Linked DNA regions of Saccharomyces cerevisiae S288C. The gene in region 4 interacts genetically with the main gene of each other region. Each region holds a gene or a part of one and is shown on either strand. Other genes may lie near its edges. The genes, in order: ASM4, SRC1, ARX1 and POM152.

Evidence for each region.
Region 1: mutations in POM152 (region 4) and ASM4 together harm fitness more than expected from each alone (negative genetic interaction), as found in Saccharomyces cerevisiae (6 studies listed by BioGRID, with this or other methods).
Region 2: mutations in POM152 (region 4) and SRC1 together harm fitness more than expected from each alone (negative genetic interaction), as found in Saccharomyces cerevisiae (6 studies listed by BioGRID, with this or other methods).
Region 3: mutations in POM152 (region 4) and ARX1 together harm fitness more than expected from each alone (negative genetic interaction), as found in Saccharomyces cerevisiae (6 studies listed by BioGRID, with this or other methods).

What each region holds. Positions count from the first base shown.
Region 1 is NC_001136.10:296,659-304,029, reverse strand, and holds ASM4 (FG-nucleoporin ASM4), read left to right. Parts: upstream 1-4,026; coding exon 4,027-5,613; downstream 5,614-7,371. Other genes in the region: NADH-ubiquinone reductase (H(+)-translocating) NDE2, read right to left, coding at 1-819; YDL085C-A (uncharacterized protein), read left to right, coding at 1,360-1,566; YDL086W (carboxymethylenebutenolidase), read right to left, coding at 1,796-2,617; LUC7 (Luc7p), read left to right, coding at 3,031-3,816; NUR1 (Nur1p), read right to left, coding at 5,756-7,210. UniProt on the Saccharomyces cerevisiae protein: Functions as a component of the nuclear pore complex (NPC).
Region 2 is NC_001145.3:206,107-214,523, forward strand, and holds SRC1 (Src1p), read left to right. Parts: upstream 1-3,418; coding exon 3,419-5,338; intron 5,339-5,464; coding exon 5,465-6,049; downstream 6,050-8,417. Other genes in the region: CGI121 (Cgi121p), read left to right, coding at 98-187; AMD1 (AMP deaminase), read right to left, coding at 322-2,754; recombinase RAD52, read right to left, coding at 6,409-7,824; NDC1 (Ndc1p), read left to right, coding at 8,083-8,417. UniProt on the Saccharomyces cerevisiae protein: Plays a role in sister chromatid separation.
Region 3 is NC_001136.10:655,001-662,419, reverse strand, and holds ARX1 (putative hydrolase), read left to right. Parts: upstream 1-4,952; coding exon 4,953-6,734; downstream 6,735-7,419. Other genes in the region: SPO71 (Spo71p), read left to right, coding at 1-1,247; STE5 (Ste5p), read right to left, coding at 1,317-4,070; YDR102C (uncharacterized protein), read left to right, coding at 4,440-4,772; TVP15 (Tvp15p), read right to left, coding at 6,976-7,407. UniProt on the Saccharomyces cerevisiae protein: Probable metalloprotease involved in proper assembly of pre-ribosomal particles during the biogenesis of the 60S ribosomal subunit. Accompanies the pre-60S particles to the cytoplasm.
Region 4 is NC_001145.3:523,801-533,473, reverse strand, and holds POM152 (Pom152p), read right to left. Parts: upstream 5,671-9,673; coding exon 1,657-5,670; downstream 1-1,656. Other genes in the region: ribosome biosynthesis protein RRB1, read left to right, coding at 1-311; DPI35 (Dpi35p), read right to left, coding at 447-1,355; ATP-dependent RNA helicase ECM16, read right to left, coding at 5,975-9,673. UniProt on the Saccharomyces cerevisiae protein: Functions as a component of the nuclear pore complex (NPC).

The DNA.
Region 1 (7,371 bases), on a different chromosome or scaffold from region 4:
TTCAACCCCCGTAGGGCCCCCTCCAACAACCACGAACGTTAATAATCGCTTCCTTTCCGGATCGTTCACAGGAAATGAACTTGCCTGTTCTATGGTTTTCATTAACTTCATACGAATATTTTGAGCATCTTCAATCTCTTTCAAGAAGTTAGCATTGCCATAGACCCCGGGAATGTTAAAAGTAGTGGTTTTAGCGCCTACACTAACAACAAGATAATCGTAACTTAAGCTCGAAACGAAATATTCGTCCTCTGACACCGATTGCACCATTACTTTTTTGGCCTTTGGATCAACGTCCAACGCTTCCGCCTCAATGTAGTGAACTTCTCCAGGCGTTCTTCTAGCGATCGATCTAACCGGTTCGACAATAGACTTCATCTCTATCGTACCCACAGGCGTTGAGGGTAATAACGGTGTGAACAAAAAGAAGCTTCTTGGCGACACCACGGTCACGTTATACAAAGACGTGTCTAATTTCTTCAAAAGAGATATGGCGCCCCAGCCTGTACCCAAAATAACCAGCTCCTTCTTTTTCAAACCATTAGCAAAAGCGGTCGATTGGGGAACCTGTTTGGGTGGGTTCGATTCTTTGTACAGCTCGTATGACACATACAATGTGCCGGCCAACGTCGTGTAAAAGGTTAACTTTAAACCTCTGACAAACCATTTCTTGAATACCGCAGTGTAAGATTTCGATAGCTTCTGCTGTGGTCCGGGCTTACCAACTTCAGTGGAATGGAAAAAAGGTTTAGAGATCTGGGTCATCTTGAAACGGTGTATGGACCTAGCAGTCCTCGCAAAACCAAGTCTGGGCAGCATCTATACGAATGGCAAGTACGGTGGTTGTTTTTGTCTTTCTACTATGTTCCTGGTACAATCCCCGCAAGATGGGTTTACCTACTGGCACTGATATACCTCTTATATACGCAGGTCAACAGCGCACTCCAAAGGGAGGGGCTGACTTATTAGGGGAGGCCTGTAGGCTGTAGAGAAACCCTTTAAAAAATGAAAAAAAAAAATGGGGAAACAAGTGTCAGAGATGATCTGCTACTGTGACGCATCGATATTAGTATATCTATCGGCACTAAGGAACGCATGACAGGTGTACGCAATACCGCACTCTGGGGAATGACTAAAATAGAGACATTTTCGGCGTTTATGCGTATTATAAACGGTACGAGCGGTTGAATTTACCCGGCCATCCGGGCTCTATTATTTCACTCAAGATCACTTCTTTTGTCTTGCCATGGCAACGTTTCCATATTTTATACAGTATTGCTGAAGCATTTCTAGCAATACCAACAAGATCAATACTACACAGAGCAACAAATTACGTCGCAAGACGATACATCTTTAACAATGGCTAGAGGTAATCAAAGAGACTTGGCAAGACAAAAAAACTTGAAAAAACAAAAGGACATGGCTAAGAACCAGAAAAAGAGTGGTGATCCTAAGAAAAGAATGGAGTCAGACGCCGAAATCTTGAGACAAAAGCAGGCCGCCGCAGATGCTAGAAGAGAGGCTGAAAAGCTTGAGAAGTTAAAAGCCGAAAAGACGAGAAGATAAGCAGACACTTTATACCTGTCCTTTTATTGGAATGAATAGTGCCAGTAGTTTCTTACGTATAAAGTACTTTATAAACAGCTGTTATGTTTTTTGTCCTTTTTAGTTACCTTTTTTTTATTTTTTTTTTATTTTTTTTTTTTCTTTAGTTAATTAGAACGCTTTCCTATATTGTGCTTCTTTTTCTTTTTCTTATTGTTATTTAGTATATAGCGTGTACAGAGTGAAGATCTTAACAAACGTGCTCCAAAGGTGTATTGTCATCGACAAATTCACCCAAATCGATTCTCAATTTTCTGTTGAACTGCTCGAACAAGAAGCCGAGACAACTTTGAGTGATAGCGGAGTCGAACCTGCCCTTGCTGAACTCGTCACGGATGAACGCATGCTGGGCAGCCAGGATTTCCAAGAACGTAAACTTTACTCCGTGGTCTCTGAGGGTCTTTCTGATTAGATCGCGGCCTTGCGGGTCGACATGGGTGTCCGCAGTTCCGAAGATCAAAACCATTTCTTGGTTATTACCCAACTCCTTCGAAACACGTTCCAAAGAGTTATCGTTCTGGCCAAGACCTAAGGTTCTGGAATGGATGTCGGTAGGGAAGAAGCAGGTTGCGCAGGTAACCCTTTTGTCCAGGAGCGCTCTAAAAGCCAAATGGCCACCTAAACACATTCCTGTGGAACCAATTCTCTTACCATCGAATTGGGGTAACTGGAAAAGTAGATCGCAACACAGTTTGTTGTCCTCATCGTATGATTCTAACGGCTTCTTGATCTTGTACTCGTTACCAATATCGGTACCCTGCACGTCATAGGGCAACGCTTCAGGGCCCATAAAGTTGTGGTATATGGCAGGTGCCACCACAACGTAACCTTCAGACGCAATTCTTTGACCAAAACGACGAACCGGACCCGTCACTTGGTAAATTTCACTGTACAGAATCACCCCAGGAAACTTAGCTTGTGGATAGCCTGCAATCTTAGGAGAATATACGTATATACGCAGAGTGGTGCCGTATGATGTCTGCACATCATGAAAGGTCTCAGTAATCAACATTGTTTGCTTTATCTACTACCACGAGTTTATTACGGCGTCATTTTCAGTCTGACCCTTCTTTTATATAGTTTCTCCTAGTGAGGTTTTTCCGATAAAATTTCTTCCTGATCTTCACAAAGCATCCAGCAAAGTAGGAAAAAAGCTGAAAACCCGACGAAGGGTACTTGTTGAAAGCCATTGAGGTATTGATGGTTGGTGGTAGTATGCTATCTGAAGATAGGCCACATGATTTAGGTAAAGGAGCTGGCCATCGCTAACTGACTAGTCGTATTCTTCCACATCATGGCAACTTCCTTAATGTATTACCCGAATAACCGCCGAAGCCTCAGGCATTAGAGAAGAAAGAAAAGAACAAAAAGTTATACTACAAAAGGCTCTACACTCCCAGCAGAAAGCTGCCAACTACCGTCAGAATGTCAACTATGTCAACGCCTGCCGCAGAACAACGCAAACTCGTCGAACAGCTGATGGGCAGGGACTTCAGTTTCCGCCACAACAGGTATTCGCATCAAAAAAGAGACCTCGGACTACACGATCCCAAGATCTGCAAGTCATACCTTGTTGGCGAGTGCCCCTACGACCTGTTTCAGGGCACCAAGCAGAGCCTGGGAAAATGCCCGCAGATGCATCTTACCAAGCATAAAATTCAGTACGAGAGAGAGGTCAAGCAGGGCAAAACGTTTCCCGAATTCGAAAGAGAATATCTGGCCATTCTATCTCGGTTTGTTAATGAGTGTAATGGCCAGATATCCGTAGCACTACAAAATCTAAAACACACCGCTGAGGAACGAATGAAGATTCAGCAGGTTACCGAAGAACTAGATGTCTTGGACGTGCGGATAGGCCTAATGGGACAAGAGATTGATTCTTTAATTCGTGCAGATGAAGTCAGTATGGGTATGCTACAGTCAGTCAAATTACAAGAACTGATTAGTAAAAGGAAAGAAGTTGCAAAACGTGTACGAAACATTACAGAAAACGTGGGCCAGAGCGCCCAGCAAAAGTTACAGGTTTGCGAGGTGTGTGGGGCATACCTATCGCGTTTAGATACAGACAGAAGGCTTGCTGACCACTTCTTGGGGAAGATTCATCTGGGATATGTCAAGATGAGAGAGGATTATGATCGGCTAATGAAGAATAACCGGACAACTAACGCCAGCAAGACAGCTACTACACTACCCGGAAGACGCTTTGTGTAGGGCCATACATAAAAAAATGATGCTAGAAAAATTTTGTTCGAAGGAGAGTACTTATGAAAGAAGAAAGGTTTGTGAATATCACACACATACCTCTGCATAGTTTATTTCCCGATAAGGTAGACATATCGTTTCCCTATCTATTTAAGTTTTTTATTCGCTCTCTTTTTTTTTTTTTCTCTGTAACCTGAAAACAAGGAACGGCAAATTAAAATGTTTGGAATACGTTCAGGCAATAATAACGGTGGATTTACTAACCTCACGTCGCAAGCACCACAGACAACCCAGATGTTTCAATCGCAATCACAGTTGCAGCCACAACCGCAACCGCAACCACAACAACAGCAGCAACACTTGCAATTCAATGGATCATCCGATGCAAGTTCTTTACGATTTGGAAACTCACTTTCCAATACTGTAAACGCCAATAACTATAGTAGTAATATCGGTAACAATAGCATCAACAACAACAACATTAAAAACGGCACAAATAACATAAGCCAACATGGCCAAGGGAATAATCCTAGCTGGGTGAATAATCCTAAAAAGAGATTCACTCCTCATACGGTGATAAGAAGGAAGACAACAAAGCAAAATTCTTCTTCTGACATCAACCAGAATGATGATTCATCTTCTATGAACGCTACTATGAGAAATTTCAGTAAGCAAAATCAAGATTCCAAGCATAATGAAAGAAATAAGTCTGCGGCAAATAATGACATCAATTCTCTGTTGTCAAATTTTAACGATATTCCACCCTCCGTTACTTTACAGGATTGGCAACGCGAGGATGAATTCGGTTCTATTCCATCATTAACAACTCAGTTTGTTACCGACAAATACACGGCGAAGAAAACAAATAGGTCAGCTTATGATTCCAAAAATACTCCAAATGTTTTTGATAAAGACTCTTATGTTAGAATAGCAAACATTGAACAGAACCATTTAGATAATAATTACAACACCGCCGAAACAAACAATAAAGTCCATGAAACATCTTCCAAGTCTTCTAGTTTGAGCGCAATTATCGTATTTGGCTATCCTGAATCAATTTCCAATGAATTGATTGAACACTTCTCCCATTTCGGTCATATTATGGAAGACTTTCAAGTATTGCGATTGGGTCGCGGGATTAACCCCAACACCTTCAGAATATTCCATAATCATGATACAGGCTGTGATGAAAACGATTCTACTGTTAATAAATCTATTACTTTAAAAGGCAGAAATAATGAGTCGAATAACAAAAAATATCCAATATTTACTGGTGAAAGTTGGGTCAAACTCACTTATAATTCTCCATCTTCTGCTTTGAGAGCACTGCAGGAAAATGGAACCATATTTCGCGGTTCTTTGATTGGTTGCATCCCATATTCAAAAAATGCGGTGGAGCAATTAGCTGGCTGCAAAATTGATAATGTCGACGACATTGGAGAATTCAACGTTTCTATGTATCAAAATTCCTCCACATCGTCGACATCTAATACACCATCCCCACCAAACGTAATAATAACTGATGGCACTCTTCTGAGGGAAGACGATAATACTCCTGCCGGTCATGCTGGTAATCCAACAAATATTTCAAGTCCAATAGTAGCAAATTCTCCGAATAAGCGGCTGGATGTAATAGATGGCAAATTGCCATTCATGCAAAATGCAGGACCGAATTCGAATATTCCTAATCTGTTGCGAAACCTAGAATCGAAAATGCGTCAGCAAGAAGCGAAATACAGAAATAATGAACCTGCTGGTTTTACGCACAAACTGAGTAATTGGTTATTTGGTTGGAATGACCTATAACAGAAATCGTCCAGCTAATTATTCATGAACATTTACAATACTTCATACATTTATTATTTTGATAACTTTTCAAACAGCATTGTTTTACTTTTGTTTATTGATTTTTACGTAACTGTATATACTTAGACATAATTAAGAAACGTTATCTTTTGTGATAGTTCTTCTTTTTCTTTGGAGAGCGAAGAATGGAATTAATATCATTCTTATTCAATACATTGAACTCTGAGCCTTCAAACCTTTTCTGTCGTGCGCTTAAAGGCGTTTTTCTCAATGGGCTCAGGGATTTCGATGGTCTATTTTGGTCTTGATTCGGCAGGTAAGCTCCGCCCTTCTCTAAATTTTCATTTGACGATGATTGAGCCAAATTGTTATCCAAAACTTTATCCCTATAATATGGGGACATTCTAGGAGAATAATGAAAACCAATGGGATGACTTTGATGGTCAGATACTTGAGAAATGCCTCCATAATCCTTTATTCTGGTTTCACGGGATCCTGGCACACTTTCTGTCATTTTCGGTAATGCCTCAAATTCCCTTTTTTCATAATTATAAACCTCTCTGATTTCTTCGCCACATAGGGAGTGAGTGGTGAATATTCTCGGTGTTTTAGATCTAGTACCCATTGCAGATGATAGAGTATCTATATTGCTGCATTGGTTAATTCGTGCCATTATATGCTTGTCCTCATATTCTTGCAAAGCTGCACTTGATAAAATCAAGTCGTCGTCCACGCTTCTTTGAAATCTCTTAGTTATGATATAATCCAGAATATATTGATGGAATACTATAGCAATTGCTGAAGTAAACGAAACATCAGAAAAGCTTAAAAAAACAATTGCCGTTGGTGAAAAAGACACAAAAAGATTAATCATGAAGTTAGTGGGGATCCATTTTCTTAACTGAAAAAATATCTCATCTTCATTTTGATTAACATGAGGACCGTCATCACGAGATCCTCTGAAAAAATGCTTCAACATAGACCACAAGGACTGCTTATAAATATCTTCATAGTATTCTTTGCTTAGATCCTTCAAGTTGTGTTTAGTGAGGTTTGGGGAGTTGAACTCTTTTTTCAAATGGAAGAGATTGTAAGTCTTAAAGTATCCAAACATGAATTTACAGCTTACGTACAGGTTCAGGGACAGCAGTATGAAAATAGTAAACCTGAAAAGATTATTCAAAAACCTTAAGGTAACAAAATACCAAGATTGAAATGCATAAAATTGATTATTGTTTTGAAAGCTGGATGATATCTCCCATAGATAATCAAACTCTTTTAATTTATTGGATTTAGAAAGATCGAAAGCGCCAGACTTGACGTTTAGTTTGTAATAGTTGGGCTTGATCAAATTGTCCTGCAAGAGTCTTATGATAAAAAAAAGTATTGTTAAAAAATTCCCTAATGGCTTAGCTAGACTTTTAGCATAAGCATCCCAGTTGATCATTTCTAACTTTTCATTTATTACCAACTGCAAGTCTAAAGGAGAAGTAAGTAGCTGATACCACCTCTTCATCCATGCAGATTTTGATTCTCTTTCCTCACCAACTACTTCCGAGTCGTCATATGCTTCATTTATCAAATCATTTGAACCCATTTTACTGCCGAAGGTAAATGTAAAGCTCTCTACTGCACAACAAAGTTTTTTAGGTTGTTCGTTTCACTAACTTCTAAATATTGTCAATCAAACCAGACTTTAAGGAAACTACCACTTGTCCCAACGGCCTCACCCCTTTTAATACGGTGTTAACTTCTTCC
Region 2 (8,417 bases), 320 kb from region 4:
AATAATAAATTCGAGGTAAAAACTTCAACAGCCTCACCAGAAACACATTGTACTAACTTCACCTTTGTTTTCCTTTTATTTTGTTTTTACCTATTAGATCTATAAATTAAGTGATGATTTCAAGCCCCAAGACGTAAATGGTCTCTCAAGAGCTTTGGTAGACGCTATTCAATTGAGGGGTGTGTAGATAAGAGATATCTAACGATAAAATTATAAAAAAAATTCTTTGATTATTTTTCAGATTAGTATTATTTGTTCTCCGTGAAGTCAGTGTATCGAACTGCCAAAAGTTCTCCTTATATACATGTGCGCGTATAACCATCACTTTTCTTCAATGGTTCTCTTGAAATTGGCAAAATGATTAACTAATTCCAGTTCAGTTGATAATGTATCGTATCTGTAGTTAATTCTAATATCAGGAACATTTGTTCTAACCACATCGTTACCTTCAACACCACTCTTGTCAAAATCTTTCCCTATCCAATGTTTTTTGATTTGTGCTTCCCACCCACTTTGCAACACGGAATTTCTTGCCAATTCACACATATCTACATTAGACAATTTATAAATTTGTGCTGCAACTGAGTATTCTTCGATTAATGGTTCTCTGGTATATGAGAATTGTAAAGGATCATCTGTGGATAGTGAGACATTCAAACCTCTTTTAAAGTATCTCGGAAATGGGTTTTTATCATAGGTCAAAAATAATGCGTTATTAGAAAGGGGTGACATTGCGATACCAACCTGATCTAAATAGTATAAGTATTGAACAAATGGAACTTTCCTCAATAAAATACCATGTGATATACCATGTGCCAATAGATATGCTGAAACGAGATGCTCGGGGTCACCGGCTTCACCACAATGTGGTCTCAAAACCAAAGTGTTAAACCCTCTCTTAGCCCTCCATTGATTCAAAGACGCGACATTTGAATACAAATAGTACAGGTAATAGGAATAAGGAGGGTTTTGAGGAGCCTCCCAGAGTGATGGCTTGGGATATTTCCTATGAAAGCGGCGATCAACCTTGGATTCATCATCGACAGAATCAAACCCAATTACTCTCTGTAAAAATACATGCAATTTTGGATGAGACTGAGGATTTTTGGTCACTTCAAATAGTGGCTGAAACAGATTCTTACAGATGTCCTGGAAGCTTTGAACAATGCCAGTTTTCTTGTAAATATCATATAACCTCGGAATTTGGACTAACCAACGAACATTATGGGAAATAACTTTGTTGTCAATCACCCAGCTAGCTAGTTTATCCCATTCATCGAGAGACCTGCCATAAACAGAAATTCTATACTCACAGTTTTGGTATTTTGAATTCTCTAAATCGAATATGACTTGTTTGGTAATGTCAGCCAAGTAGGTACCCTTGATGTAGTTGTTTGTCTTCAAAAAAATTTCTCTGAGACGAGATTCACCGATAGGGTTATATTTTAAGTTGAATTTATCGAATCTGTGGAATGTATCCTTATGTGCATGCATATCTAAAGTATCGATGGATAAATCATATCCAGTCAAATGCAAAGAACGGAATACTTCGTCTAAAGTTAGTAGTTTCCCGTCCCTGAAAATAACCTTTTCATCTTTGGAATGTCTCAATTTGTGTTTAATGAAACGTAATAAGTGCTTTTGGTTCATACAAGCAGAATGGTGAACGTGAGTGTCCACTTTCCTAACATTATAAAAATCCCTGTGTGGGTTTCTTTTGGAAACGCTAGTTTCTTGATATTCGTTCAAGAGATAGTAAAGATTCCAGCGTGCTTCTAGGTATTGCAGCCTTCTATAAGCAAATGATTTAGCGGGACCGTCTGATGAGATGGAAATCATTTTTTCTAGATCCAGATAGTAGTCACGAAGGGTAGGGATTTGAGCAATTAACTCATCCGTCTTACCTGATCTGTGTACCACGTACGAGTCGTCATCGTTGAGGGTAAATTCCCAATCTGGATCCTCACCAGGAATTTCACATTTCGTAAAATCGAAAACTTCCGCATCCGGCTTGTTTGTTACTGGCACAACAGTCTTAGTGTCTGAGTTGTATGAAGGTTTAGGTGGTGGTGGATAGACTACCCAGCCTGGCTTATTTTTTGGGTTTTGATCATCGTTTTGCACAGATATGGTCTGATATTTGGCTCTCAAATTTCTACACTCTGCCACTTTGGAATACAAGTCAATCAACTCGGAAGAGGGATCATCAAGAAACTGCTGTGAAGCATCATCAGCCAACATTCCCATTTTATAGGAGGCAGAGGTACGTACCTGCTTATTCACTACCGGAGCGCCGGCAAATGACTTGAGCGTCTCTGGCAAGATATGCTGAGCACTAGCAGACAAGGTCCTCGGTTTACCCCCGGAATTTTGAGATGCATGGTCTGCCGAGTCATGGCCCTTATTCATCGCTGCTATGTTGGAAGAGCTACAATTGGTAGAATGCGATGGTTGCTCCAAGATGGCAGAGTGAGAATCATGCTCATCTAGGGCCAACTGTTTGGTGCCATTTTCCAACAACTGCTGATTCTCGTGATACGAGAAATTAGCATTCCGAGAATCAGCAGCTAAACTTTCGTGTGAATCTTGCTGCTCTAAGGGGGGTGTCTCATCATCCACTACGACACCAGCTTGTTCATCACCAATCTTTCTTTGATCTATGTCAATGACTAGTCCTGAACCATCTTGTTCATCGTGTGAAGGAGCTGGTTCTAGAGAAAGGTCGTTAAGCCTCTGTGTAGCCTGATTGTCCATAATTTTTTTTAGAATGCCCCCTTTTTATTTGTTATATAATTTATTAATCTGGCGTACTAGCAGTTCAATCGAGTTTTGCTGAATCAAAATTGGCTATAGCAGGGAGACTATAATAAAAATACTATTAATATCCGATAATTGACTAGTATACGAGAAACGCTGCTAATTCTGCCTGTAGAGAGAGAGAAGAAAAGTCGTCAAGAGATGCCTTTTTTTTTTTTTTAAAATTTATCTATTTTTTGATAATATCCTTTAAACCTTGTGCTACTAGAACTCCTTTCTCATCATCGCCAGGCGCAAAAAAAAGATGAAAAAGGAATGAAAAAAGAAAAGAGAAGACCCCCACGTGCCCTAAAAATAAAGTTAGGGCATCTATAAAATAACTAGGATATATATATTGATCACCCTGAACGGAAATCAAGGGTTTTAAAGAGCCCTCAAAATTACTGTTTTAGGAAGCCCCCTTTGTTTTTGTTTTGGTTTCAATTTGTGGTGGCTAATCTGGACATCGATCTACTTGTATAGCTGTCAATATACTATGCGGAATACATGGAAGAGAAATAGTCCTCAGTCATTATTAATAGTAGACTGAGACCATACGGAGTGAACGTAGAGGCCAGAACAACAAACAGTAGAACGGTAGCAGTACTCAGTTAGTGCCGCGATGAATAGTGACTTGGAGTATTTAGAGGACGGTTTTGATCCGAATTCAATGAAAGTTGCGACTTTGAGGAGGATATTGGTAGAAAATAATGTCGATTTCCCATCTAATGCTAGGAAAAATGCGCTGGTGGGGCTGTTCGATGAAAAGGTTAAACCGCAGATCCCGCAGTTACGGAAAATGTATCTGAACGTTCGGCCCAGCGATGAAGGTATTGTGAAAATGGACCGTCCCTCATCTTCCCCATCTATAGCTTCCCCTCGTAGAAGTAGACGAGCTCGCAGGGAGAAATCTGCTTCCCCCATGGCCAAACAGTTTAAGAAGAATAGAATACTGGATGATGTAAGTAATGATGATGATGATGATGATGATGATGATGATGACAATGATAAAAAAGACGATCCTTTAATTGTACCTAGTGGAACGGATACCGATGAAGTGGACGATGAAGAGGATGATGTGATAACATCAAGCTCCAACAAATCAGACACCAATGATTTCCAGCAAAATTCCGATACTCGTAAGAAAAGGAAAGACCCTGATTCTGACGACTGGTCTGAATCTAATTCAAAGGAAAATAAAATCGATAATAAGCATTTGAACCTCCTATCATCAGATTCAGAAATTGAACAGGATTACCAGAAGGCAAAAAAGCGTAAGACGAGTGATTTGAACCAAGAGCATGGAAATGGCTCTGCCATTTTAGGAAAACTTTCCGTCAAAACACCAATAAAGAACACAAATAGAAAGCCAGTAAGCATGGATAATTTTAACGATTCGTTGACTTCAAGCGGTACGGAAAATGATCCATTTGTACCGAACATACGACACAATCCAAAAGAGCTCGGAACTGCCAATGGAACAGGCCATAGCACACCCTTGAGTAAGTTAAAAGTTTCTGCCTCATTTGCGGATAAATTGCCTCAAAAGGAGGTACCATCTACAATACTGGTTCCAGAAGTGGAACAGCAAGAACCTTCTCAGAGTGAAAGAACACCGTCTTTGTTTTCGTCCGAAGGCTCTGGCTCAGAGTCGGAAGCACCCTTGCTTCCAGAGATCACCACGCCAGGTCCTCATCAGCCTATGGGTAATACCAGCAATAATGTGGTCGAAATGATAGATACAGATAGTAGTAACTTGGTATCGGATGAAGATGAAGTTTTAGTGCCTACAAGGATCGAGACTCCCCAATTACCCACAGAGAAAGACGTCGAAAAGTGTGAAGCAAGAGTGCAAGAACTTCAAGAGGAAGTAAATGAGCAATTAGAGCATGAAAATGGGAGTGAATTTGATGTTAAGCAAGGATCTGGGAAGGTCGGGAACAGGCATAAGTTCAAAAGAGCACTCAAATTTTTGAGCAAATCATTACTGGCGCTATTTTTATTTTGCATATTCATTGTTATTCCTCTCTTATTTGGCCTCTGGTATAGAGAGCAAAGACTGCTCATAGGTTACTGTGGGCATGAAGTACCATCCCATCGAGTTAGTGGCAATTCCTTCGAGTTTATTCAAAAACTGGATAATTTGTTGCAGGACTACAGACCGAAATGTATCCCTTGTCCACCCAATGGTATTTGTTATCCTTATTTGAAACTTAAATGTAAGCCAGATTACAAGTTAGCACCATCTAGACTTGACTTTTTGGAAATTATTCCTGCACAAGGCAAATGTGTTAAAGACGACAAAAAACAGCAGTTAGTTTCCGAAGTGGTTGAAAAATCTTTAGAGTTTCTGAGAGCCAAAAATGCACAAATTTCATGCGGTGACGGAAAAGACGACATCGAGAGTGGTATGACGGAAGATGCCCTCTATCAAATATTTAATGAGGCTAGAGCTCCTTGGATTCGCGACGATGAATTTGAGGACCTGTGGATCCAAGTTATCAAAGATTTAACTGAAGAACCAGAAATATTATGGAGGCAAGTGAGTACAATTTATTATCTTACAAAAATTATTAAACCTGTTATTATATGATAACAGTTTTAATTTTTTTTGAATTTTTTTTTGTTTTTGATTTATTTACTAACATCTTTTCCTAATTTTCTCTAGTTATCACCCACTGACAACAACATTGGCGGAAATTCCAACAACATCATTAAAACCAATGACGTTCCGAGACAGAAGAGACATCTTCCAGAAAAATTCATCTCCAAGACGAGGAATTTTCGGTCGACGTCCAAGAAATACATTGGAATGAAGTGTCGATTTGAAAGAGAAATCTACCAAACGTATAAAAAATTTCAAAGGCCAATATGGCTAATGTTTTTACTGATAGTCATTAGTAAAGTAATCGAGATCAAGCTGAAGAATTATTATAGAAAGAAGGCAAGAATTGAAGAACTCGTTACTCAAACCATGGAAAAATTGAAATTCCAAAAGATTAAATCAATGTCCGATCCGAAAGAAAACGCGTATTTGAGCATAGTTCAATTGCGTGACATCTTTCTTTCTGATATTGTCGATCTGAAATACAAAAATCAATTATGGTCAGAAGTGGTAAAATATTTAGAGCATAATAACAGTAATATTAAATCGAACTTAACTGAAATTCGAGGTGAAATAATGAAATGTTGGGAATGGATAGGTCCGATGGAACTCAATGAACCTAAGGATTCCGCTGAAAACAAAATATAACCCACAAAATGAAACTCAAACGTAGTTTTCTCTTCTCAAACTTAATGATCTATTGTTTTTCCGAGTTGCCATATTTGTATAGTTTATTCTATTTATACGGTTATCCTAATATCTGTTATATAATTCTTTATGTAATACTTTTGTAAAGTTATAATGAATCTAATCCTGAAAATGACTTGTAAAATAATAAGAATTTTTTATTCGATTTAAAGTAAATATTAATACGACACATGGAGGAAAGAAAAACTAGACGATATAGGAAGAAATACAAATAAAATCAGAATTGAAAGAGTAACTAGAGGATTTTGGAGTAATAAATAATGATGCAAATTTTTTATTTGTTTCGGCCAGGAAGCGTTTCAAGTAGGCTTGCGTGCATGCAGGGGATTGATCTTTGGTCTTCCAACTTCTCTTCGTGTCGATCTTTGTTGCGGAACGGCTGGCACTGCACCATTTCCATTAGGATGTACTACCTTAGAAGGCGGCGCAAACCGTGGAGCAGCTGCAGGCGGAAAAGCTGTAGCGTTCGTTTTAATTGGTGTGGTTTCACGCGGTACTTGATTCCCAGCCCCTTCTAGCATATGAGGCCCCAGTTCTTTATCATTGTTCTTCATGCTCAATTGTTTTCCCTTTGGTGCAAATTTTTCATAGACAGAATCCCTCGCGGTGGTCATCGTTTTGTCTTTTAGCACACTCGCTGGAATATGCTTGGACGTAGTCTGATCAACGGTGTGCCTAATGGATTGTGCCTGGTATTTGGGATCAAAAATGCTCTCTTCACCAATATAACGTTCATTTTGTACGGAAGTTGCAGCCTTAGCTGTAACAAAGGTGATTTGTTCTGCCTCTGGGTTTGAGCTAGCAGTTGGGCTTTGCTTAGCTACAACGGGATCCTTCTCTGTCGTTAAAACATTACTGTTTGTGTTGCCCATATTTATCAAGTCGTCGTCTTGAAAATCATCGCTAAACATAAGAGAATCATCGAGAAGGTCATCTTGATCCTGTTTGGAAGCATCGAGAGATTTGAGATCAGTATCTTTATTACTGCTGTTTTTACTGTTAGCCTCAGCAGGTGCGGCCATCATTGGGGTACCTCGACTTACTGTATTTTCTATTTTCACCAGGTTCTTCGTCGAGTCGGGATTGGTATTTGTAACTTTAGTCAATTGCCTTCTTTTATTCGGGTATTGTTGTTGTTCTTGATTTTCATGCAAAGTATTCGTTCTTGAGCTTTCGCTGATTTCATCCGTTGGCCTAAACAAATTGTTTTCGTCAAAATCTGGCGGATCGAACTTCACCTTATCGATCTTTGCCAGAAAATCTTTATCGTAAAGACAATTTCCTAGAGCATTACCAAACCCTCTCAAAGATCTTTTCAAGGCATCCGTAACGGCAGATTTCTTGGCCCTTTCGAAAGCGGCAGGTTTCCGTCTTTCGTTCTCCACGGTACCATACCCAATATCTTCCCTATAAGTCCCGCTAGTCAACGTAACACGAACAATTGCAGTACACCCTATGCTAAACTTTCCCTGTCGCTCATCCAAAAAATCGATAACTACACTTTTTACCTCCGTAGACCAGCCATTATATCCAAAGATTTGATTAGCAAGATTAATTACTCTCCAACCTTCGATGTATGCAATCCTGCTTGTTCCAAACCCAACTCTCTTGGAGATATACTCAGGTCCTAATTTCTTGTCCAATTTGGTCTGTATGTCCTCGGAATGGTTACCGAAAACGGGCTTCTTCTCATCCATATCCATAATTTCATTCATCAACAACACACCAAAGCCACCAGAACCTTCAGCAGTTCTTGGCAACCTCCTTGTTTGCATTTGTTGATTCTCAGTGGCAAAATAGCTTAAAAACGCCATTCGATACCGGTCGCGTAACCCGCCCGCCGCTATATTTTTCGTCTTTTCTTAACAGACTAAAGAATATAATAACATCGAGAATCACTAACGGGAAGAGCAGACTCTTTGGCGATGAGTAAGTGTGATTGAGAAGACGAAAGGACATTACAGGGCAAGCAGATGATACAGACGCCAAGGGAGTTGTTGAATCCACGGTACACGTACCATACCATCTTTAGCGACGTGTGCAAGACCCGATTCAACCATTTAGTTACGAGGTTGTTTTTCATATGTTCTATTATCCAAACTGTGGTGATTTCACTGCTGGCGTTGCCACACTCACCGTTATGGGAACTGGCATTGGCATTTATTCCCAATATTTTAGCTCTTAACCTAGTTTCCCTTTTGATCATTGTGACAAGAAAAAATTACATGCATGTAAAGAATTTTGGGTTCGCTAATTCACTTACTTTCATTCTAGGCCAATTGTTATCAGTAAAGTTTCTTGTATACCA
Region 3 (7,419 bases), on a different chromosome or scaffold from region 4:
AAATTCCAGAGGTTTACGAGCAACAACCTTATCCCTTAGACACAAATGATCACATCGAGTGGATGAACTGTCAAACGACCCAAAGTGAATATGATTCCAGAGATTTCTATGCTTTCCATTGTTTTCATAGAAGGATTGATCAAATACTAAAAACGGACAATGTGATTGACCTAACTGAGGTGAAAGATATATATCAAGGAACAAGGACTGATTACGAAGCAGACAAAATAAAATATGGGGTTTACAAGGAAGCTAGTGAAATCTTTTGGCATAGAAACTACGAGATTGATGATGTTTCACGGTCCGTAATAAATATAGAAACCTCAAATGGACTCCTCTTGAAGCTGCTTGCTACATCAGCAACAGTTGCTGAAGAGTGGGTCATAAAGCTGAAACAAATGATATCCTATTGGAAAAACAAGCAAAGGGAAGATACGGAGAGGCTTTTAAAAATAAGGCGTTCAAATGCAGGTCTTTTGATGCTAAATGGAGAAGAGGAAACAAAAATTGGTGAGAATACATTGCGCTGGATCGTAGAACATGGGCGTGCAGATGAGCAAACCTTTAATGCAAATGGAATATCATTAAGTAGGCCGTTAATTCAAAAGGGACCTTTATATCAAAAGCCGCACAAGCATTCTGTTTTCTCGAAGTACTACGTCGTTTTGATATCAGGTTTTATTGTACTGTTCCACTGCTTTCATAGATCAACCACAGGTTTTGCTAAGGAAGTTTTGGAGTATGCTCATTATGTAACCATTCCGATTGACGATTGCTACCTATACTCTGGGACCACAACAGAACTAGACCTTCTGCAGAGAGATCGTACTTTTGACGAAATAAACTATGGATCCCACGCTCTCCCACGAGTTTATGGGGACGGATGGCGATCTGTAGAAGACGAGAGTTCGCGATGCTTTACGCTTTGGTTTGGAACAAGGCGTGCCCTTTCTAGCAATCGCTTACAGAAGAAAGGGAATGAAAAGCAATATACGCAAGATTATGGTAGACAAGATAATAATATTGACCCACCTTCTGCTCCGGAAGCTGACTTGAATAACTCTAATGTTCCAAGTAACACAGATAAGATCCATTTCACTAAAAAGTTAGGTGTGAGCGGCAAGTCAATGGTTTTCATGGCAAGATCAAGACAGGAAAGAGATCTTTGGGTAATGTCTATTTACTATGAACTTGAAAGACTAAGAAGAACTGCGTCCACTTCAAATTCACGGAATCAAACTATGTAACAATATGTAGTTACGAAACGTTTGGCGGGATGCTTTCTTTTTATTATTGCATAAAATTTAGTGTATACTCTATATATAATCCATATGGAGGGGACAGTTGTTATTACCGCTCTCTATAAGACTCGAGAATGAACTGCGTCTGGTTATGCCATCGATTCCTTTATCCATATCACTAAGTAATAATACTGGCATATCATTTTCATTTTCATTTTCATTAGTACCTTCCTCCTCAGAATGAAGTGAAAATCTAATATTAGGAATCAGAGCTGGCTGTACTGAAGAAGCGACAGTTTCTAAGTTTTCTATATTGCTATGTTCACCCTCAGTGAGAAGGTTTCTGTCATTCACCATATTTGCGGTAGCATTTTCATTATCAAATGGAGAATCAATATGAATAGTAGTTGTAGATTCAGCATCCGACAGTGATCCTGAACTATTATCAAGTTCATTATCGGTCGAATCATCATTATCCTCTTCGTCATCGTCATCATGTTCATCAAAACTTAGACCGAAACTGTAGCAAAGAGTTTCTAAAACAAAAGTCCAGGAGCTGGCCTCGACTAGTTCATCAATTTTATCACTGTAGTCAACGTTCAAATAGCCCACCTTAATCTTCAATTCATTGGGCCTTCTTCTTCCAAAACTTGTAAAGCATCTGTAATCTTGAAATAGTATGGATTTTTTTGCTTCCATATTACTATTTGATACAGCAACAATACCCAAATGTTCATGAATATTTTCGGGATATAGAGTATTTTTCAACCAAATAGGTGAAAATTGTGTCGAGGAACTCTTTGATTTGAGATTTGAGATGGAATCTAGTGAATCTATCTTGTGTAATACCGATCCATAGTCCAGAACATAATTATTTCGATCAACGAAACAAAACTGCAAACGCGCAAATTTAATGGTTAAAGCTTTTAGACTGTTATAAACAACAATTAAACTGTCTTCTTCCTTCAATTTCGTAAAATCGATCTGTAAGATTATTGCCAAATTATCAGGTTTTTCTCGTTTAAGGGAAAGAATTGAGCTTATCGTGGTTAGAACAGATTGTATACTGTCGACAGTACTCTGCCTAGAACATTCTCCTGAATTTAAGGTGAATCCCCTCCTTATGATTACAGTATCATTATCGTGCACATTTCCAACTTCAACAACTTTGTTAGGATTGATTAAACCTAGAAAGGTACTCGTCTCGTGCCTACCATTACCAACATCTTTTGAAAAGTTCTTTATAATGGGAAGAATAGGCAGGGTCGAAGTGATATTGTCCTCATTGAATACAAAATCCTGATTCAATATACCTGATATCCATTTCTGTACAGTTGTGCTTTCGTCAGAATTTATATTCTGAACAATGTAAAGATCTGATAAATCGGCGCAATGTTGTTTATTTAAGGTGCATTTGAGTACTGAAGCTTCGAGTGTAGTCATTCTCAAGTTGGCAATAGGTGTAAATACTTCTAAATTCTTTAGTCTAATTTCCAAAACATCAACATCGTTATCCACTTCTGCTATTACAAATGCGTCTTCAAATAAGAAACACCAGCATTGTATATATCTCTGACCATCTTTGGAAATCATCAATTTGTCTACCAACCTTAGTAATCCATAGTCCCCGTCTATTCTCCAATCCTGCAATTCTTCCTGGAAATTGTTCAAAAGAATTTGAATAAAATATGACCTTAACAGCGGCAACGTTGTTTTGGTTTCGTCATCCTTTGCTCTTACCGAATTGGAAACAGCAGAAATAGAATCATTAGCTGACAACGCTACAGAGGTGTCTGCTAAGATAGAGTTTGCTCCGGACGGAATTCTTCTGTGCCCCAGGGGTGAATGTAAAAATGTATAGTTTGATTTTTTTTGTGGAATTTGGTTTCTTTCCTTGGGGGGTGCAGCCAATATGAGATTTGGGTTTAGACTTGGAGCTTGAGAATATATCGTTTGTCTTTCAACAGGTGTATAGGATAACCCAAAAGGAGGCAAGAGTGGTGAATAAGGAGGAAAGCGGGACTGAGGTGTGATTGATAACTCAGAATCAGGAATCTTATGAATCAAAAAATCAGAAATTAGAATATCCTTTAGTTCATCATTTTCTGGAATGCATTGAACGGCTTTGTTAGTATCTTTTTTACATTTGGTACAAAAAGGAAATAGCGCACGAACGTCTGCCTTTGAAGTGGTGCCAAAAGAGATAATAAGACATTCTTGGTGACTTAAGTGGCCACATGCAAGCTCTATAATTTTCTCTCCCTTTCTTCTGTTAGAAATAGGCTCGTCACATAACGTACAAGAAGCATTCAAAAAGGATTTTTTAATAGAGGTTCTTTGTATTGGATAGCCAAATGGAGCGACCTTGGGTGGTATATTATCTGATAAATTTTCGGCCCTTGGGGGCTCATTTGCTCGGGATAGGTTACTATTACTTGCGTGAAAGAGATTGGAATTAGGTCTTGGCAAAGACGATGTTCTGTGAGGGTGTTGTGGCAAATAATCAGTGGAAACCGTAGAAGGTGTATTCATTAGGTTACCGTCTTCATTGCCAGAAGAGTTTGAAGAAGTGACCCTAGATTTGGGTGAGAACGAAAATGTAGAGGAGGAAATAGGAGAAGGTGAGAATCTTTTCTTTTTAGCACTACTTCTTTGGAACCTGGCTAACTTTTCCGTCCATTTTTTTCCTCTTGACAATGGGGATAGAGTACTGGGCTTCTCTAGCTCTATTATTTGGTTGGGAGTTCTCGACAAGGTACCACTATATTGTGTCGAGCTACCAAAATTGTGAAAAGGGGAAACTATATTGTCTGTAGGAGTTTCCATCATTTAAAAGTTGTTTCCGCTGTATCCTGTATCTTCCTTTTTTAGCGCGGATGCTAGATGGGTTAAAACAGTTTTAAAATATTTTCAAATTACTTTTTTATGCCTTTCTTTTGTCGTCAACTTTTCGAGGAAATTCTCGGTATTTTCTTTAGCTACTATCGCCTTTCATATTTTGATGCAGAAAAGTACATGATGTGTAAATTAACAAGCTACATATCGCCGCACCCAAAAAAAAAAAAGAAAAGAAGGGAAATTGTTCAAAATTATGACAGGTTACCTATGGACATGTGTCGTCTAATCACTACCTTTATATTTTTTAATTAATTCATGTGCACAGGCCTGCTTTCTACTATTGAGCAATACGCCTTCTAAATGACTCTCCTACTTCAAAAATGTATCAGAGTAGAACTGCGGAAAGATCCAATATTTAACGCTTCTTCTTCACTCGAAATATTTCTGTCAGTTTTAGAATCTGTTATATATCCCTTTAAAGGAAACTTGATACTTCTAGATTTTCATCTTGTCGATGTTCAAACAACGTGTTATCAGAGAAACAGCTCTATGAGAAATCAGCTGATGTCAGTATTCTGTCAGTCACTTCGTGAATTTACATTGACTGCTCTTTCGTGCAATTCATACTGTATTATTATAGTTGCAACTAGATGGCAAAAAATTGATAATGCCCTAAAAATGACAGGCCGGTAACCCTAAGCTTTTTTTTACCCGGAGAGGGTCATGCCTCTGTGAAGCTTTTTTTGCTTTCTGAAAAAATTTTACCGAAGTAAAGAAAAATTTCAGCAGAAGAGATGAGATGAGCTAAAGCATCGTGTTATTCAAAATACTTTTAAGAAAAAACCCGACCCGACTAATATTGCTAAAACTATCATGGCTCTAGCTATCTCCCACGAGGATACTCAGATTTTGCTAAAGGACAAAAATATTCTACAGGAATCGGTCTTGAACAAATACAGAACTGCTGGACAAATCGCACAAACTGCTTTGAAATATGTTACTTCTTTGATCAATGATTCATATCACTCTAAGACCACACAGCGCCAATTAACCGTGCCAGAGCTATGTTTGCTTACCGATTCTTTTATTTTGACCCGGTTGGAACAATATTATAAAAACAAAGTTAATGAAAGAGGTATTGCCATTCCAACCACTATTGATATCGACCAAATTTCTGGTGGATGGTGCCCCGAAATAGATGATACTCAAAATTTGTTAAACTGGAATAAGGGGAAAGACTCCACTTTTGCATCATCTGTCACTGGGACTTTGAGACCGGGGGATTTAGTCAAGATTACACTAGGTGTTCATATTGATGGTTACACCTCTGAAGTTTCTCATACTATGGTTATTTACCCCGTTGATGAAACCAAACCTATTCTTCAACCCACTGGGCCACTACTAGGTGGTAAAGCGGATGCTGTAGCTGCTGCTCACATTGCTATGGAAACAGTTGTTGCTTTATTAGCCTGTGCTCTGACTCCAGAAAAGCTTCCTGCCTCACTGGGAGGAACTTCAAGTGGTATCACAGGCCAATTGATTAGAACTATAGTGGATACTATTGCCAGATCTTATAACTGTGGCGTTGTTCCTGGTTCTCGTGTAAGAAGGATTAGAAGATTCCTGGCAGGCCAAAACGAAGGTATTGTTGCCGAAAGGGAATATAAGGGTGTTGTTTGGACAGAGTCCCATCAAGAAGCAGATTTGCTATCTAATACTGATGCCAAGGATTTAACAGTGGTAGATCGTGGACAATCGACTCCATTCACTAATGTTTCTGCTATTCCAAGTGATGATTTCGTTGTTCAATCAGGTGAAGTGTATTTAATTGATTTGAAAATGGCATCTTTGGAGCATTGTACCAAAAAGGGTTTAGTAACTTTAGAAACCGTTGACTCTTACACAGGTAAATCTCATAAGGCTGGAGAATTGATTGCAAGACCCGGTGCATATGTTAGAGATTTTGCTCAAACCCATATTCTTAAATTAAAAACTTCTAGACAATTATTAACTAAAATCGATAAACAAGGCGTTTATCCATTCAAGTTATCTCATTTATCTTCTAACTTTCCTTTCGTTCACGAAAATGAAGAAGAACTCCAAAGCTTAAAGAAAGATTTGAAATCATTTAGACTTGGGATGAGTGAGATTTCCAACAACTACTTATGTGTGGAAAGTCCAATACAAATTGCTAGATGGGTTCCATGGGACCATATTTTAAAGGCTACCAATCCAAACGGTAATTTAAGTTATGATGCAACCTCTACATTAACATTACCTGGGCATGAGTTACCTTTACCAAAATTGGGTGTTTCAGCCATCAAGCTTAAATCCTTAATGAATTCAACCAAGGAATCGATTTCTTTACCAGTTGCTCGTGAATGTAATACCATCGTATTATGTGACTCTAGTGTAAGTACAACGGACAGACCCGAATTATTGAGATTAACTGGTGGTTCTAAGACCTGTCAACCGAGCTGGATTCACTCTCAGCACGAATTAAATCCACAAGATTCAATTGTTCAAGGGATCTTTCAATTAGCTACTTTGGCCAAGGATAAGAGGTTCGGTCTATTATTAAAGGAAACGCAGCCAATGAAGCAGAAGAGTGTTGAGACATCAAATGGCGGAGTTGAAGAAACCATGAAAATGTAGGAAACTTCATCATTTCTAAAGCTAGTATATAAATAATATAAGTATATCATAAAATGTAAAATAGAATATTATAAAAAAAGTCAACCTAGCTGTACTAAAACCGCTTGGTTCATTTGCTCAGAATCTTGCATTATAATTACATTTTATTTGCTATACAGATGAGATGGAAGATTAAATATCTCACGCCTGTTTCGCCATGCTTTTGTAACACCGGCGGATTGAGAGACATGGGCTTCTAATATTAAATCATGTCATCGTCATCGTCGATGTCATCATCACCAATTGACAAAGATGAGCCGGGTGCTCTGAAGTTAGCAGGTTCTTCCACAAACTGGGAAAAATGAAAAACAATAAAGGCAACCCCTAAAATAAAAGTAAACATTCCCGCCAATATGTTGTAGATACCGCCGAAGCTGATTATCAGACTTAGTAAAATATAAGATAAACCCCTTCCAAGAAAACTAAAGTAAAAGGAAGCATACCTGTAAAGATTTGACGGAACCTTGAACTCCAGATAGACGATAGGTACGGAGAGTGCCAGTCCGTAAACTGCCAAGAGGAAGACGTTTAAATTGGTGAAAATATACGTCAATTGTGAAAGGGCAGCAATAATGTCTATGCAGCCAATTGATATATTTGCAATCTTGAAGAATTTTGGAGGAATAACTGACATCCTTTCGTTTGT
Region 4 (9,673 bases):
CGGTTGCTCAATATGACTTCCATAAGGGAGCCATTACTTCCATTGCATTCAACCCATTAGATGAGTCTATCGTTGCGGTAGGCTCAGAAGATAATACTGTGACTTTGTGGGATTTGTCTGTAGAAGCTGACGATGAGGAAATTAAACAACAGGCCGCCGAAACAAAAGAGCTACAAGAAATTCCACCACAATTATTGTTTGTTCACTGGCAAAAGGAAGTTAAAGATGTCAAATGGCATAAGCAAATCCCAGGTTGTTTAGTAAGTACCGGTACTGACGGTTTGAACGTCTGGAAAACAATCAGTGTCTAAACTGTATAATACTTGGATCATATATTTACACATAGTAGATTATTAATAAACAAACCCATTCAAAGATATAGTAAATATTACTGGCGGATATGAATAATATCTATCATACATATTTGTTACTGTAACGTTAGGCGCTCAGGGAAAGAGTTCCTCTAAAACCTCAAGATTCGAAACAACGTACTTTCTTTCACTCAACTGTAACGTGTCAGTTTGCTTAGTATTGGCTTCCCAAGTGTTTATTGAATTATTATCTATTTTATCAATTGACAGCTTGTATTCGTCCCGCATTGGTTTACTAATCGAGTTTGAAAGAAACCCGTATTTATCATTTCTATCTAACAGTATACCAGTCCAACCGGCAGCTTCTGCCCCTTCGAGATCGTTCTTTAATTCATCTCCGATGTGAAAGCAATGCTGTAGAATTTCCTCCCTGGTGTACTTTTCGAGTAAATGAGGTTGTTTAGATATAATATCGTCAAGCGCATATTGAAATATTGCTCTATCAGGTTTGGCGAGATTAAGCTCATATGATAAATAAATGTGACCGGAAAATGTCTCAAATAATCCGATATTCTTTAATAATTTGTAAAAAATTGGATCAGTATTGCTTACTATTCCTAAGATAACATCAGGATGTCTTGACTTCAAATCCTTTAAAAATTTGATCAAATCTGGATAAACAAAATACGAATCGAAGCCCTCAAACCGCATTAATATTTCATTTATCATCTCATCGGGAATTTCGTTTGGTGCGAAGACGTTCCTAATCAAGATGGACCACCATTGTTCGGGCTTGATACCAGAATATTTTCCGTATTGGGGATAGTCTTCCTTCAGTTTTTTAAAAACGTGTGGAAAATTGTTTGTTAAAGTCGAAGGATTCGCCTTGATACCATATTTACGCCCAACAATGCAGTATTGTTCCATGACGGGAAGTTTTGTGGCGTATAGTGTATTATATGCGTCGAAAGTAATAATTAGTGGCCTTGCCACCCTATGAACTTCAGACCACGCATTTATAGGTATTCTTTTCGGATAGGTCATTGAGCCAATTTCTGTGGATGTTCAAAAGTCTGCTTTTAACACACCTCTATAGACCGTAAAGGACAAAGGTCTCAGCGCTCTCTTTTTCTATTCATTCACCTACACTCTTTCGAGTTACTATGAGCGAAGATAATTGAATCGAGCGTCTTGATAATTTTGAAGAAAAAGAACAACAAACAATACAGGCGTCTTTTTCGCTTTCTTAAGTATTTTAATACTGATGTACAGAGATATATTATACATTACAATTGTACAAAAATATTGCGGGAAAGAAAAATTTCATCAGACTTTCTTGTAATATTTAGTTATTGAAAAAAAGATCATTTTTGGCAAAACAATAAGCATCTGTAATTTCAATCGCCTCGTAGGTACCTTGCAAGCTTGTAATTACCTTGTATTCATGAGAATATATATCAGTGACTTTATGCGTCTCAACAACCTGCGACCTCCTTTTGCCGTGTTTTCCATCAGTCTCTTCTGTCCTTACATAAGTTAGTGAGAATGGTGGGGTACCTTCAAACGAAAAGATTACTTCAGCCTGGTCACCTTCGCGGATATCCTCAGTAACGTAATTTCCTTGAGAAACAGTTACGGAAGGAATAGGATGTATGTTTAAAGATAAGTCATCAAATTCACTCTTTAATTTAGGGTTCGTAAAGTCGACAATGCATTGTGATGATGAATCCTGTAAAGAAGTGATAGATATAATGCCCGGTTCAGATGCTAATCTAACAAATTGGGAGCTGCGTTCCTTAGATTTTAGTGGAATACCGTTGAATTCATACTTAATCATGAAAGGTGCCACACCGTTTAATTGATATGCAACATAGTCCCCAACACAATACTCGGTAGAAGGATCTAATATATGTATCTTTGGTGCATCAGTAATTGACACAAGAATTTGATTACGCGGTCCAGATATGAGGCTGTTAACACAACCATTTGCGTCAACAACAGAATCAATAGTAATGGCATGGTTACCTAACTTCATCCCTTCATATAACTTTTCAAATGAAAAGTTCTCTGAGTCAATGTTGTCAATGGTATACTGATCTGTCCTACTGGTACTCTCGTGATAAACGCTAAAGGTGATTGAAAATGGGCTTTCGCCTTGTAAAAATTTCAAATTTATTGGTTCCAAAAATGAGATTTGATCTACATTAGCAGCACATGCACGCAAGGTTTTACCACCATCAGCAAAGGCGACGTCTGGAATGGGGTGCACTGTCTGTTTGATTATGAGCTCCGACTGATGTTCTCTAAAATGTATGTCGCTTTCACCATAATTGCCATCGAAGATGGCCTTAATAGTAGTTATGTACTCTCCAGGAATTTGATTAGGCAGTTTCAGTGAAGCGTATTTGGTTGCCACCTGAATTTTTTTTGTAGAAATATGACCGTTGGGTGCCATCAAATCATATTCTAATATGAATGGTGGAGAACCAAATAGAGCCAAATCAACCGTACCTTCCATCCCTTGACAGACTTCTTCTTTAGAGAATAAATTTTCCGTTACTTTTGTAATGTGATGATTGTCTTGAATTGCAAATTTTGGCTTCTCCAAGAAAGATACCTTATACAGACTGTTCCGGTAAATCACATTACCTTGGCAACTTGAGTCACGAATATCGACCAATTGGTAAAGCCCTTCTTTACTTACTTTCAAAGCGGGCTTATAACTATTCTGAAATTTGTTTTCAAATTCTTTCACAATGTTTCCATCGTAATCCATGTGTTTAAACTTAACGGTGAATGGCCCCTCTCCACTTAATTTGAGCGGAATTTCAGTGACAGAACCGTGCTTAATTTTAGCTTCTTTGATAGGTTCAAAAAAATTGAATGCAGCAGATGGAATATCTCTCCTCACCTGTATTTTAGCATCTGGTTGGCTGAGTCCAACTACACAGCCGGTAGAATCCTTGATAGAAACCAAAGATAGAATATAATCACCACCAGTAGTAAAGACTGGTGTTTTAATGACATATTCGTTGGTTTTTATTTCTTTAATTTCAAAAGTTTTCCTCTTGCTAGAAAAAGTTTCAATGATATCATATGTTAACGTAAAAGGGCCTTGGCCTTTTAGTGCTACTGGGACACTGCTGTGGTCACCCAAACAGAGTTTCAAATCATGGTGTAATTTTAGTGATGCGCTTGGTTTCACCCTCATTGATGTCTTGAAAGTATATTCTTTTACAGGTTCCAATTTGATTGGTTCAGTGAATAATTTATTAGAAACAGTATCAAACACGATTTCATAGTTACCTTCTTTAGGTGGACTATAGCTGAAGCGATTTCTCGTACCTTCAGAGGTGTATCTCTTTGCATCATATAACTTTCTTTCACCGTTTTCAAGCTTATAGATTTTAGTGTTATAATAGTATGGTGGAGCCCCAGTAAAAGATAGTTCAAAGTTTAGACCAACCTGTCCCACACACTGGTCCAATATTGGAAATGATTTAACTTCCATAGTAGGTGCAACTGGCATAGTTACAAGAACGTTTGATTTACCCACAATTTCACCTGGACAAAACTTAGATTCAATATATTCTAAGTTATATGACCCCGGAAGATCCGCTTGCAACACTTTGGTCAAAGAATCTGTAGTAACATTCATTATCTTTTTCGACTTGTCTTGTGCATCAGTATAGGATAGGCTAATAACATATGGAATGTCTGAAATCCAGTTTTTGATTTCTTCAAACACGATGGCAATAGACCTTTTTGTGGGTGACTTTGGATCAAATCTTTCTTCTAGCGCTGCACGTGGAACCTCATGAACATTGAAATTATAAGATAGATCATAGCGCTTTTTTAATTCTTCAGGGAGAGATGTAAAATCCACGACATTTCCCAGACCATCAGTTATTTTATCAATTTTATATGCAAATTTGCCGTCCTGGGTAATGGAAGAGTCTAAATTAATATTAACAGGTTGGTTTCTTCCCCATTTCAAATCGTTTAGTTCTCCTTGAGTAAAACTTTGTTTGGATTTGCTTGACTGCAAAGGAGACTCAAAATATTCTGGTTGCAAGCTGGAGTCTACATATGAAAAAGTTTGACCATTAACGATCTTAGAGTATGCTAATTTCATTGGGGGCACACCTTGAATTTCAAAAGAAACATTATCTGAATCGCCAATACATCTATCATTGCTTCCAGTTCCAGTAATAGATGCAATTGGACAGTAGGGTACAACCAAGTGTGACTGATGGATCTTTAAATTCAGTTTTTTTGAATCAACAATTTTTTTGATTTGATAAAAGCCAATATCTTGAAGAGTTACAGCCAAATAACGAATTGTACTGCCTTCTTCAAAATCGTTTGAATGTGACTTTAGAACTGACTGATCTTTTTTTAAAAAGGATTTGGGGTTATCGATGATTTTGAAGTCTTTCTTACTCAAAGACCGTAACTCTACCGAATTTGTGTAAAGATCTCTATATTCCAACTCGATATATTCAATCTCTTCAGTTGAGTTTATTCTGATGGGTACGTCAATTGAGTTAATTTTAAAAAGATTGGTATCCATGGGCAAACAATATGATTCATGAAGAGGATTAAACATAGCTGTGTTTTCAGGTAGGATCTTGATTGTTAGAGCACCCTTAAAATGAGCGGAAGAATCAAAAATACGATGATGGTTAATGGCTGAACCTGTTACACTTAATTCTTTCGTATAAAGTTTTCTCCATGTGGTCATAATTAATGAAATCAAAACGAACTCGTGATCGCTTGATATGAAAATGTTCAATAGTAGCATAGCTAAAATCTGGAGATAAACAACCCATGGCTTAAAAGTCAACCTAGGAATGTTAAAGGATGGTAAAACATACAGGAAGAAGGAATCTATAATGAAATACTTGGATATGAAATTAAATCGATAGTTCTTAAACAGTAAACCCGAAAGCGGTAACCCCGATTTAAGTATTACCAGGTCATATATTTTATAACATTGAATTATTAAAAACAATATCACCGCAAATGTCCTTTGTTTGGAAATTTCTAAAACATCGGTTGATATTAGAGGCAGTGAATAAATGTCTACCTTTTTATCACCATTAATGTAGCGGTCTTTGCTGTCACGTTCAGATATCCTTGATTTTTCATCGCTTATGTTACTTTCAGTACTTTTAAAGCTCCTCGAGCGTAAAGGTCGGATTTTCTCAGCGGGCTCATCGTCACTATATTGGAAGCGTCGTGTTGTGTTTACATTAGGACGACTGCTATAAGATGGACGTGGTGATCCTGACACAGAACTGCCCATCCAATGGTTCCCTCGTGGAGTATCATTAAACACGTTATATCTGTGCTCCATTATACAAGCCTCCTGATAAACGTATCTGGTATGATAAATCTATAATCCGTTTTGAATTGGTTCGATGAGTTTCCTCTTATTATGTCTTAAGCAATTCTTACTTTTGTTCAATAAAAAAAACGTATAAAGTTATTGACTACGTATATAATGACATAAAATACATAGTGCTATAGAACATAATGTTTTGAATTATGAAGGAAGTTAACATTAAGTGGTTGCAATTATTTGATGCCCTAGATAGGAATAATGTATTCTTCCTATATGTTCTTATATAATGAAACTCTATTTCTATAATACCAGCGCATTATTTTTTTTCTTTCTCTTCACCTGTGATGGTCTGGAAGCCCTTTCTGGTGATAAACTTAATGACTGTCCACTGGCCTTTTTGCTTCTTCTGATGCACTGCTATAGGATTTAAATCCCAACCAATCTTGAGATCGTTGTCAACTGTGGATCCAAATCTAGGAACCACATAACAATACCGTTCCGTAGGTGATAAATTAACGGTCTTCAAGCCTTGACCAGTCAGAGGTTTACTGTATGTCAAAAGAAGTCCCTTTCTTGCTATGTTCGCTAAGGGGGTGCTTGCGATGTCACATAAAGTATTCATCCTTGTTTTATTATTTCCACCAAGGTGCAAGGAATAATAGAGCATGTATTTGGGTGGCATTTCCCCCAAATTATTTAAAATTGAAGTCGGATGGATATAGACAAAGCAGTCCTCGATATTTGGTGTTCTCGTGGCCAAAACAGGAATATAAGGAATGTTGATTATGGAAGTTCTGTTGGTTATCTTAGCATCATCTGGAAATAAAACATCTGCTCTTACGGCAACATGGTCGACAAAACCAGCGCAAATCATTTGTTTTAAAAGTTTTATTTGTATGACGCTTGGAATATCACTTTTCAAGTCTTCATTCCTAATTACTACGGCAATATTTTCTTTTGAAGTGTTGGACTTGATGATATACATTAACTGCTTCCTCAATTTTACTATTTCTTCCATTAGTTTGCCTCTTAAAAAATTTTTCTTCATGAATATTTCTTTTTGTTCCTTTGGAACGTAGTCCATTGCACTTACAACACTTAATAAACGGAATACGTCACTAAATTTGTCTAATTTACTAAACTGACTCCTGCTTTTATAGAATTTACTGCGCAATTCCTTTTTCAGTTCAGGATCCATACCTGGTGTTGATTCATCGTGCTCTCTAATCTTATCATCTAGATTTTCATCTGGATTTGGTTTTCTAGAAATTTCGTTTATTCCCAACTCAAATTCATTGATAAAAGGATCTCCCACCGAAAGGGCACTAACAATTGCTACAATATAAGGAAGGCAGGCTTTTTCGTCAGAAACAAGTAACATTTTGGAAAATCTGGGTGAAAGTGGGAACAGGCTCATTTTTTTACCATCTTCAGTAATCATCTCCTTATTATCAAGAGCACCTAAATATTGCAGTAATTGTATTGCCTTGGAAAGGGCAACTCTATCTGGAGGAGTTGGAAATGGAAAATTAATGATATTATGAATGGCCATGCTCTTCATTTGTAACACGATGCTCTCCACTGGCATTCTTAAGATTTCAGGTTTAGAGAACTGTTCGAAATCATGTTCAAAAACAGCAGACGAATATAAACGGTAACAATGGCCTGGTCCAGTACGACCTGCTCTACCGCTTCTTTGATTGGCACTAGCTTTACTTACCCAGCCCACTTCAAAACTCTGTACGCCATTTGATTCATTATATTTACGCTCTTTAGACCTCCCGGAATCAACAACATATCTAACTCCAGGTATAGTTAACGATGTTTCTGCAACATTTGTTGCAACAATACAAAGCCTAGAACCTTGAGGAGGTTTTTGAAAGACTCTCATTTGTTCCTTGGTTGGTAATAGAGAATACAGTGGAAGGACATATAAAGGATCGTTAGCTGTTTGCCCTTCAGTTAGGACTTCTTCAAACCCTTCTTCCTCTTCGTCTTCCTCATCTTCACCGTTTCCACTGTTACCTTCATCTTCTTCGTATCTTATCGCGCTCTTGAACTTATCTTGATCGATAACTTGTACACTGAAGTCTATATCCTCAGCCTCCAAATCTGTTGTTTTTGAATTGATACCCATTTTAGAAACGGGTGTTTCTAAATCTTTGTTGTACTTGGAGTTTTTCTTAAAAGGAAATTCCTTTCTTAGCCTTTTTACCATGTGTGTAATTTCCTGCTGACCGGTTAAAAACACCAATATAGCGCCAGGAGGAAGTTTCTGGTGAATTTTGCAAGTCTTTCTGAAAGCCTCGTCTGTATAGTTGAATGCAGTTCTACGATTAAAGTGAATAGAGACTGGAAACTGCCTTGCATCAACCTGTAAGACAGGGGGCGCTATGGGGAACAATGTTTTGTTTTCGCTGAAATCTGATACCCTTAATGTAGCTGACATGATGATGAGTTTTAGCTTCTTGTGCTCGATCGGGTTCTCCTTATGTAGTTTAGCTCTTAACCGAACACAACGGCTAAGCATACCGATCAAAATATCAGTGTTAATGTTTCTTTCATGTGCTTCATCTATGATAATGGAGGAATATTTAGTCAACTTGAAATCGTGCATCATTTCTCGTAGCAAGACACCATCTGTCATAAACTTGACCTTTGTGTCCTCCTTTGCGGTAGAGTCAAACCTAATTTGGTATCCTACTTTATGACCATGGTCCCCCAATTCATTAGCTACACGTTCAGCCATGGACACAGCGGCCACTCTTCTTGGTTGAGTGATACCCACCATTCCTGGGTAATCTGGAGAATCTTCGGCACCAAACCCAGCCTCATATAAAAATTGTGGGACTTGTGTAGTCTTACCTGACCCCGTTTCACCACAAATAATCACTACATCATTATGGTGAATAGCCTCCATAATTTTGTGTTCTTCACCAAATACTGGTAGTTGAATTCTTGCTTTCTGAATTTCATCTGATCTGCTAACTTCAACATAGAAGGCTTTACGGGTGGAATTCTCGTTTATTGGAACATAAGCTTCTTGGAGACCATCATCTAAATCTTCCTTTCTAATTATCGGTTTATAATCGATGTTCAAAGTGGGAGTAACTAGCTCTTGATCTCTACCTTCCAATTTTTTTATTTCTTGATTGGCCCAATCCTTGAATTCGTTAGCAACATCATTTTGGTCAAATTTTTCTGAGCCAGTTTCACTATCTGCGCTTTCAACTTCTTCGAGTGGGTTTTCACTAGGATGCATTTTGTCTTCTTCTTCCTGATCCTCCTCTTCGTCATCATCTTCAGATGTCGTGTCGAAATCCATTTCATCTTCTTTCCCATGCTTCTTCAATTCTTCCATTTCTACTCGTTGTCTCCAATTATATTTCTTCTTCGGAGTTTTGCTTTCTTTGTTTATGACTTTTATATTGCTAAACCCAAAGCTAAGACCAGATCCACCAAATTTTGCTGGTCTATGATCAATAAAACCTGATGATTTCTTCTCCTCATTGTCCGTTGGTTTCGGCATACTACCAAATGAAGCCTCGAAATCATCTTCGCCGTCATCATCCTCAGAGCTCCCTCCTTCACCATACTCATCCCAAACTTTTGGTTCATATTCTTCGTATAATATTTCATTTGTTTGTTCATTTCCTCTTCCTTGACGTTCTAAACTCAGTGCTTCTTTGAATTCTTCCTTTTTAGTCTGCCTGCCCTCTCCTAACCTTTTAGAGCTTGTCAACAAACTTGTATCTATCTTATAATCTTGAAGTTTACCAATAATTGTCTTTCTTTCCTCTCTTTTTAATTGATGTTCAATAAATTTATCCAGTCTTTTCTTCTTCAATCTCGAAACTTTCGATTCCTTTGGGGTAAATAACTCCTGTAGTTTTCTTTTCTTCATTTTCTTTTCTTCTTCAGTGAGAGGTTCAAGAATTTCCGCATTGGCATTTGGCTCCGTAGTAGAACTCTCAGCGGGAGCTGAATCTGGGTTTTCTACTCTTTCATCGTTTTC